Linked DNA regions of Nothobranchius furzeri. The protein of the gene in region 2 interacts with the protein of the main gene of each other region in a pairwise test. Links are inferred from orthologs where the notes say so. Each region holds a gene or a part of one and is shown on either strand. Other genes may lie near its edges. The genes, in order: grap2a and garem.

The links.
Region 1: the proteins of garem (region 2) and grap2a interact in binary tests that used the Homo sapiens proteins (3 or more experiments, as listed by UniProt). The link is inferred for Nothobranchius furzeri from reciprocal best matches to the Homo sapiens genes GAREM1 and GRAP2.

The regions. Positions count from the first base shown.
Region 1 is NC_091745.1:28,837,351-28,841,749, reverse strand, and holds the start of grap2a (GRB2-related adapter protein 2a), read right to left. Parts: upstream 2,896-4,399; 5' UTR 2,666-2,895; intron 1-2,665. UniProt on the Homo sapiens protein: Interacts with SLP-76 to regulate NF-AT activation. Binds to tyrosine-phosphorylated shc.
Region 2 is NC_091747.1:36,778,174-36,782,713, reverse strand, and holds the start of garem (GRB2-associated and regulator of MAPK protein 1), read right to left. Parts: upstream 3,072-4,540; 5' UTR 2,875-3,071; coding exon 2,754-2,874; intron 1-2,753. Other genes in the region: ncf2 (neutrophil cytosol factor 2), read left to right, coding at 4,124-4,297.

The DNA.
Region 1 (4,399 bases), on a different chromosome or scaffold from region 2:
AAAAGGTTATAAAAGGCATCAGGTCAGAATCATGATCCACGTGGGAAGGCTAACAGTAAGCCAGTCCAGGTGAAAAGGTTTGATCTCCTCAAAAACAGAAGAGAAGCCTCGGTGTCTGCTTCAGTGGTTTAACAAACAGGCAGTAAATCAAACCAGGTCATAAACAGTCAGCCTGAACTCACATGGAAGTGAAACGCCTTTCATCTGAAACGTGGAAAAGTAAAAGTAATAAAAGCTTTTAATAATCAGAGACTGCAGGCAGCAACGCGCTCAGCTTCAGGGAAGCGGGAGGCAGACGGTATGAGTAGAAAATAAAGAATCGTGAAACACGATTCCCAATGCTCGGATGAATTAAGCTTAGTGACTGTTTTCAAACTGGCTCTTTTATCTTCTGACATCTTAGATAAATGTAAAAAAATCTGATCTGTCTGTCTCATATCGGTTTATTCAACCGTGGAAGTGTTAAGGGCGGACCCAGTAGAAGTTTTTGCATGAATTAAATTAGTTGTTTTAGATGCTCCATCAAAAGGACTGTAGCGGTTCCAGAAACGTTTTCAAACATTCAACAGATCAAAGTCTTGGTGAGAATTCAAACAAGTCCAACGAGTCAACGTAAAAAATCTGGGAGATGCACCCATTCAGCTTCTGACAGCCGATACCCAACTCTGGTTTATTAAACCAACCAATGTTACTTTAAAATCTCTGATGAATGAAATCTGAAAGTAAAAACACCTACATAGTGTTGTTGCTAGCACCATGGCTAGCACTTAGCAACGCTGACTATGTGGACGTGGAAAAATGCCAGATTGTTTTCACTGATGGTTGGTAATAGTGTGTTTATAAACCAGTGAAAATAAAATATCATTTTGAGTATCAAAGTAGCTGAGATCATGCATTTCTGGGAAAAAAAGTGTTGTAAACCTAAACAACAGTCAGTCAAAGAAAAGCATCGCAGACGTCAGTCTGGGGACAGAACGCTGCACTTTTAGAAATTTTGACTGAGTGGGTACATAACAGTATTATTATTCTATATACAAAAAGACGAACCTTTACCATGTTCAAAAACTCACCAAATGTATACCAAACATAGATTTTGCGTGAAAATATATTTTAAAGGCGCCGCAAAAATTGCAAAGGAAATTGCTCAACAGCGACCCCTGGAAGCGGGAAAAATCTGCATCCCAATGTACTTTTTTTTCATAGTAGATGTGTGAATTTTAATACACTTGTAGTACTCCCCAAGACGCACAGAAAAGTATCCTGTAGCCATGGTCAAGACCAAACAGGAAGTCGGCCATTTTGGATTGAAGTTGCGCTTTTGAGCCCGAAATGGCTGTTTGTAGGGTCTGCATACGATGGCAGTAATCCTTAGATTACCAGAAAAATTTGCTTTTTGTAAATGTGGAGGGCCTCAAACTTTGACTACTTGCCAAAAAATATAAATGTGTCATGAACAGAACTCAGAAGACCCGTAATGACGCCCAACACAGTAAAATTCCTTTAAAGTCTTTATTTGGATGAGGAGTTACGCGAGGAGGGCGAGGCAGGAGACAGAGTCGGAGGGCAGGCGTGAGTAAACCAGATCGGCACAAGCAGGTACAGGGAACAGGCTGGAGACGTGGCAGAAGACAGGCGAGGGTCGTGATGGCAGGCAGAGTTCAAGGCAGGGGTCAGGAGAAAAACGAGGTCCGGAGGCAGAGATCAGGCAGGGTGGATGGCTGGAGAATTTACTGGGAAAGGCTTTCAATAACCTGGCACTGAATGACTGGATGGCTGGTTCTTTTGTAGCAGGGGAAGCAGGTGTGAGTGATGAGCTGAGGAGTCAGGAGCAGGTGAAGTGAATGAAGCTGATGACAGGAACAGGTGAGATGAATGGAGATGATTGTGGTCAAAGTATGACATCATCAAACCCCTGCCCCCTCAGGACTGAAAAGGTCATGTTTTACTCGGAAAAGTCCCAATTCACCTATTTCATGGAATCAACACACATCTTTTGCGGGTAGCTGAAGACAAGTGAGGGTTGCTTGCAAAACAATAATTTGGTCTGGTTCACTAGGCTAGGTAGGAGACCAGACGTGGTTGGATTTCCGACAAACATCACAACTTCTCATTTTTATTTACCTGGTTGGAATTTTATTGTATTTTATATCTAAACTAGATTTCATGTCAGCTCACTTCCTCCACCACACACAGTGTGTGTGTGTGTGTGGGGGGGGGGGACATTGACCTCCCATACAAACTATTTCTGATGGCAAACTTCCACCTGATGCAGATAAAAACTTAATGAATAACTAAATCTAGACATGAGCTCATTGGTTGTTTTTTTTCCTCACAGAAAACGTTTCCCAAAGCAAGAAGAGAAACATTCAGTTCAAATTCAAACAGGAGCCTCTGACACACGGAATAAGAAATAAAACGGTAACTTGATGTGTTTGTTTATCTGCCTCAAAATAGGAGCACGACTTTTTACCACCAGAGAGAAAGAAACAAGGACAGCTAAAGTTCTGTTCTAGAAGTGTCTGTAAGCACGTGTGATGTTTCAGATCTGAGAAAAGAACAGAGAAGTGAGAAACAGACAGAAAGAGGAAGAGGAGTCAACCGACCCGAACCTTACTCATCTGGACTCAGAGGCTTTTATTTTTAGGATTTGGGCTGTTTTCCTTACCTTGAACTTCTGTTCGTCCTGATTTTATTCTCTGAGCTGCTCAACTTCTCCCTCCTGACTGAGAGCCCCGCAGCATCATTCAGAGTCCAGAAGATCCGTCCAACCAGGCCAGGTCCACACGGGTAGCCCAGGTTCTGGCTCAGAGGCCGAGTGGAGAGGAAGATGAGAGAGATCCGCGAGACTGGTGCTTCAGAAACAGAAGAACCGCCTTTCTCCAAAAGCAAATTAGATAACATCCGTCTGAAGAGACCTAGAGCCGCAGAATGAAAGCTCAGCACAGCGCCCTCTGCAGGCCACACACCCAAAAACTCTACCCGCTGAATGCGGAAAATTACAAATAAATCATCATCATCATCATCATCAGTAAAGTTTTTAAAAAAGAACTCAAAAAATGGTTAAAGTCTAAACAACAATGTCTACATGAATAGTTTAAAACTTACATTGATGCTCAAATTGCCTTATTTTTCTTTTTTATTGAAAATTGTTTGAAATTTTAATCTGTTTTCTGTTTGATTCATTGTTGATTTCTTTGTACAATGCATCTGGTTTGTCCAATATACTTGCTGTGTCCATGTCAAATAAACATCACATCATCATGCGGCTCTTTAATCAATACTGCAAATAAGTTTAAATGCCATATTTGAATATGATTATTAATAAAAATTCCTCATCAGCATAAAACTGCAGGAATGATTCAACTGTGACGATATTTTGACTCTGCTGATTAGAATGGTGCTTTATAGCAGAACTAGTGCAGAAACCAAGTTTAATCACAAACAAAATAAATTTGTTTTTGTAGCTGTGGCAGTCTGGAGTCAGGATCTACAACAGATGTCCTCTGGAAATCCCTAAAGGGCTCAGATGAGTGTCACGTTTTCAGGCTGCTTTTGGTTTAAAGGGATGACTGTAAGTTAATGATCAGATTCAACTGAATAACAGCAGAAATAAATCCATCTATAGGAACATAAATACATATCTTCAGATGCAACGATTTATGGTTTTAGGGCCGATGAAGATTTCTGATTCTTCTACAGTGGGATGCGAAAGTCTGGTAAGCCTTGTTAATCTTCATGATTTATTTTGTATGAATCGTTGGTTGTTATGATAAAAATGTCCAGTTTACTTTATCATAAAGGAGACACACACAGTGATATCTGAGAAGTGAAACAAAGTTTATAGGATTTACAGAAAGTGTAATAATTATTTAAACGAAAATAGGCAGGTGCATAACTGTGGGCACTTTTGTCATTTCATTGATTCCGAAACTTTTAGAATTAATTATTAGAACCCAAAATTGGTTTAACTCTCTGGAAGCAGGCGCTGCAGATTTGCAAGGTTAAAACCCGCCTACCTGGTTACTCCACGTATTTCATGAGCATGTTTTAACTCAGATGTACTCCTGAAGGACTTAGTTGTTCGTCCTTTTAACAAAACTTATTTTGAGCCTGAGAGCAGCGCCGCCACTGTCCATACGCAAGGTACGCAGAGTGCGTAGGGCCTCGGTACCTGGTGGGCGGGGGGTGGGGGGCAAAAAATTATTACAGATTTCAGTTATTGTTACAGCAGCATATTGCAGAAAACATACAAATTAGTTTCCCACCGTTTGAGCTGTTGAGAGTTATCTTAATTTTGTAGCCCGTCAGTCACAATTCGGGCTAAATAGCTATTCTTATAATTTACAAACATTACCCCCGCAGCCAGTAGCGGTTTTAGGCACGGGCAGACAGGGCAGTT
Region 2 (4,540 bases):
TAATACAAAAATTATATATATATATATTAAAATAATGTTAATCATAAATCTATGGTTTAAAAAAAATATATATAAATAAATCAAATCAAAATTTATTTATGAAGCACTTTTCATGCAAATGCAGCTCAAAGCAGTCGGTTTCCCACCCCTCCCACACTGATTCACATAAGGGATCCCCTTTGTATCTCCCTCCTCCCATCCTCAATCCCGTCCCAAACAGATGCAAACTCCCGCACGCACACGCACGCGCGCTCACACACACACACGTAATAAAGGGCAGCTGGCTGAGTGCAGATGTAGTAGGTACAAAGAAGACGAAAATGCCATCAAAGGAGCCAACTGCACCGGAAGCACCAAGATTGGCAGCAATAGCCTTGGCTAGAGTAGACATGGGAAGCACCCCGGCCTCCACAGCCCACCGCTGCCCCCGGGGCAGCCAGCCCCCACAGAGGAAACACTGGTTTACTAATGAGACTAAGATAACAAGTTAAGAAACAAATTAAACATAAACAGCTGATAAATAAAAATCTAAATAAAACACAGTGATAAAAGATAACCTAGTAGAAACATATAATTAAATTTATAAAATATTGTACAACAAAGTATTAAGACTGGTTAAAACTAATAATTATTACAAGTTAAAATAAATATGTAAGAAAATGTGTTATTTAATTAAAAGAGTAAGTAATAAAACACTGATAAAATATATAAAAGATGGTAAAACTGGCTAAAATAGATCAAAATCACTTAAAAGCTATACTAAAAAGTTGAGTCTTGAGCCCGGCCTTAAAAACAAGAACACTCTCTACAGCCCTGAGGTCCTCTGGCAGACTGTTCCAGAGGCGAGGGCCATGAAACTGGAAGGACGCCTCGCCTTGGGAGTGTGTCCTGACTTTTGGAATGACTAGGAGACGGCTGCCAGAGGAGCGCAGCGACCGCGAAGGCTCGTATTTATGAAGCAGTTCTGAGAGATAAGAAGGCCCAAGACCATTAAGACATTTAAAAATAATAAAATAACTAAAAGCTCTGTTAAAAAAAAGAATACATAAAAGAAACAAATAGATAAATAAATAACCTAATTTATTTATTTAAAAAGTGATAGTAATCAGTTAAAAGCTAAGCTAAAAAGAAGGGTCTTGAGCCTGTTTCTAAAAACAGGTTAAAACCATCAACTCCACTCAATGGTCAACTTTCCTTGCGGAGTCACACCCATTAGGACAGTGGGAGGGTTAAACAAAATGTTTTTTTTTTCTGAACATAGGCTACCTGGTTCTTTCTTTTATGAGTGTGAGTAGGAAATGAAATGAATCGCTGCTGCATTTGGATGCACTCAAGGAGGGAGCACTTGCTCACAGCCAGAGGTTGCATCATCCATTCATCCTTCAATACCGTTAAATTTTAATTCATTTAAAATTAATATTTAGTCCAAACAAGCTGAGCAGAGTGCCCCTGTAACATATAAAACATGCAATTAAACAATTCACTTAAATTAGGAACATTTTACCTGCATTGGCCTGTACGTAAACATTAACAGGTCACCTCCAGCTTGTGCGTAATCAAATGTCTCTAGGGAGTTTGCTGAAGAGGTTATGAGGTTCTGGGCTTTTGTTTCAGACAGACTTGTGGATGTTTAAATGTTGTTATGGATGAATCTGCGGTCCGCTGACACGCTGGATTCAAGGCAATTGCTGGATAACAAGCACTATTTAAGCCAAAGTTTAAAAATCTAATTATTTAATGACACATAAACAGAAGTATACCAGACTCTCGGAAAGATAGAAGGGTTTCCACTCAACACTGCGCTATTGTGCACGATGTCGAGTGCGCCAGACGCTCTCTGAGCTCCCTTCAGCGCACTACTTGGGCACACTGTCAGCAGCAAGATAAGGAGAAAGTGTGAGATTATGCTCAGATGCACTGATAGAAATCTTGATTACCTCTGCGATGTTCTCTGTGCATAACATGTAAAATATCTGCGCACCTGCAGGAGTCAGTAACAAATTTACATGGCTGCTTATACTGAGCCAGGATCCTCTGGAGTTTATTCCTGTTAAAATGGAGTTTCCCTCTCCACTGTCGCTAAATGCTTGCTTAGTATGAGGATTGCTGTAAAGACTCTGACACTAGTCAGTGACTCGATGCAACCTGCTGGGTTCCTTATATAGGAAACTTTTTACTTATTGGCTGTGATTAGAATGACATTTGATAAAATAAAATAAAAAGATTTTCGGTTATCTTACAGATTTCTGAACATTATAATACAGCAACAAGGCAGTTTGGTAGAGTTTAAAATAAAGATATCTATTTAATAGACAACTAAATGTGACTGTGGCTGATACATCTGTTTAATTATTCATTTTGACAGTTTCAATGCTTCAGATAGTCTAGAGTGACATAAATGCAGTCTTGAGAAGCGGATCAGTGCTGACCATAAATCAAGATGTTTTGTTGTGATGTGAGGATGCATGAAAGCATTCAATAATAAAAAGTTGCTGTGGTACAATAATGTAGTCTGTCAAGCAGATGCAGCACTTTGGCTACAAAATGCTTGAGAATGTAAGCATCATTAAGACATACATATATATATATATATATATATATATATATATATATATATATATATATATATATATATATATATATATATATATATATATATATATATATATATATATATAAACACCAACTTAACAGTTTGTTGATGTTTAGCGCAAAGATGACTGCTTTAAATGCATAATAACAAAGTTACTAACCGCTGTCCAGTTTGACGATTTGGGGCATTTTATATGCACTGACAAGCTGATCCAAAGGTAAAGACGTTGAGCTCCAAGTAACATCTTTCAAATTATTGTACAACATTGTTCCAAGGTCCATCTTGTTAGCTCACATTAGCCAACTCTGGAGCTAGCTGTGTGTAAATACGGACACAAAAGGGTGCTCCGAGCTACCAACACAAATAATATAGCAACTTAATCTAAACAGTCATACCAAACATGACTTATTTCTTGTTAATCCTTACATAGCTCCAATTTTCATTTGTTCTACGCATCATAAAGGTTCGTACTCCGAAAGTGTAGTAGAGCCATGTTTGTTTAGCTAGCGATGAGCTAACGGATAAACGTTTTTACTCTATCAAAATAAGAGCATTTTATACATTCAAGTAAAGAAGATACGTTATTATTGAAAGGCGAAATCGTTGAATTCCTTGAGAATATATAAATACACATTTATAATATGATGTTAGTGTTGTAAGAAAACGCACCAGTATTTTGTGATTATAGTCATGTCACAAGAAATTTATTTTGAAAGGAAAAACCCGGAAGTTGTTTTTGTGCATTTGGCACAAAAACACATCATATATTTACTAAATAAATATTGCAGCTCAATAAATTTAGAATTATTAAAGAAGAACAAACAATAATCTGAACATTACTTATTTCAGTAAAAATGTCTGAATGTCATCAAAGTTAAGGTCGTTACAACACTGGAAATCAATTTGAGTTTTGGATTTAACATTGTCAAAGTGCCATGTTTGTTTGTAAATTTACAAAATAAAGTTAAAAAATAATTATTTAAAAAATACTAGAAATCAATTAGATGTGAAACATTTTTCATTATGCATCTCAAGCTTTTCTGCTTATAAAATGCCAACGTTAGTTTAGAGCTAAACACACACACACACACACACACACACACACACACACACACACACACACACACACACACACACACACATTTAAACCCACAATTTATTCAAAGATAGAAAATCTCTAGAATCTAAATCATAAAGCTTTTGTTAACTGTAGGCTAATATTGATGGAACTCAAATAGAGCATTTGACATACCAGATAAAAAATAAACACAAGACCATCTGAAAAAGTAGATATAAAAATATACATATTTCCTGGACACAATGTGCAAATTGTTTGGTACATCAGCAGTAAGTTAGAGTGCAATTATTGCACTGAACGGGAGAAAATAATTTAAATGTGGCTTTAGCACTTAGAGCTGATTGTGATGCATTTGTAAATCGTAACAGCTGTCATCACACTTCCCAGTTTCACTGGTACAAATAAGAAGAACTTCCTCAATGTAGAATCAGTGTGCTGGTAAGCCAACAAACATGTCTTATGTGGACACTCTGCGGCAGTGGGACAAAGCTGTAACTTGTGCCGACAGACAGGAATGGTCAGAAGCCCTCTGCATTTTCTTATCCATTCAAGAACCAAATTCCAAAATTTACTTTGACATTGGTTGCCTTCATCTTCTGAACCAAGACTTGGATGATGCTGAAAAGGTACGTTAGATCTACTTTATTTTAAATCAAATCTGCAAGTCTGTGCACGTAAGAAAGTAAAATCATCTGGATTTATTTGGCAAGGCTGAGATGAAACGTGTCAGATATAAGGAGCCCTCCGGTTGGCTCACGGGTCCCCTGAACAGATCAAACAGGATCAGAAAATATTCAATTTCAATTTTCTTGGCAGCTGAGGACCCATGGTCCGGAAGGACGTGACTTAGGCTCCCTATAGAGGTTTCT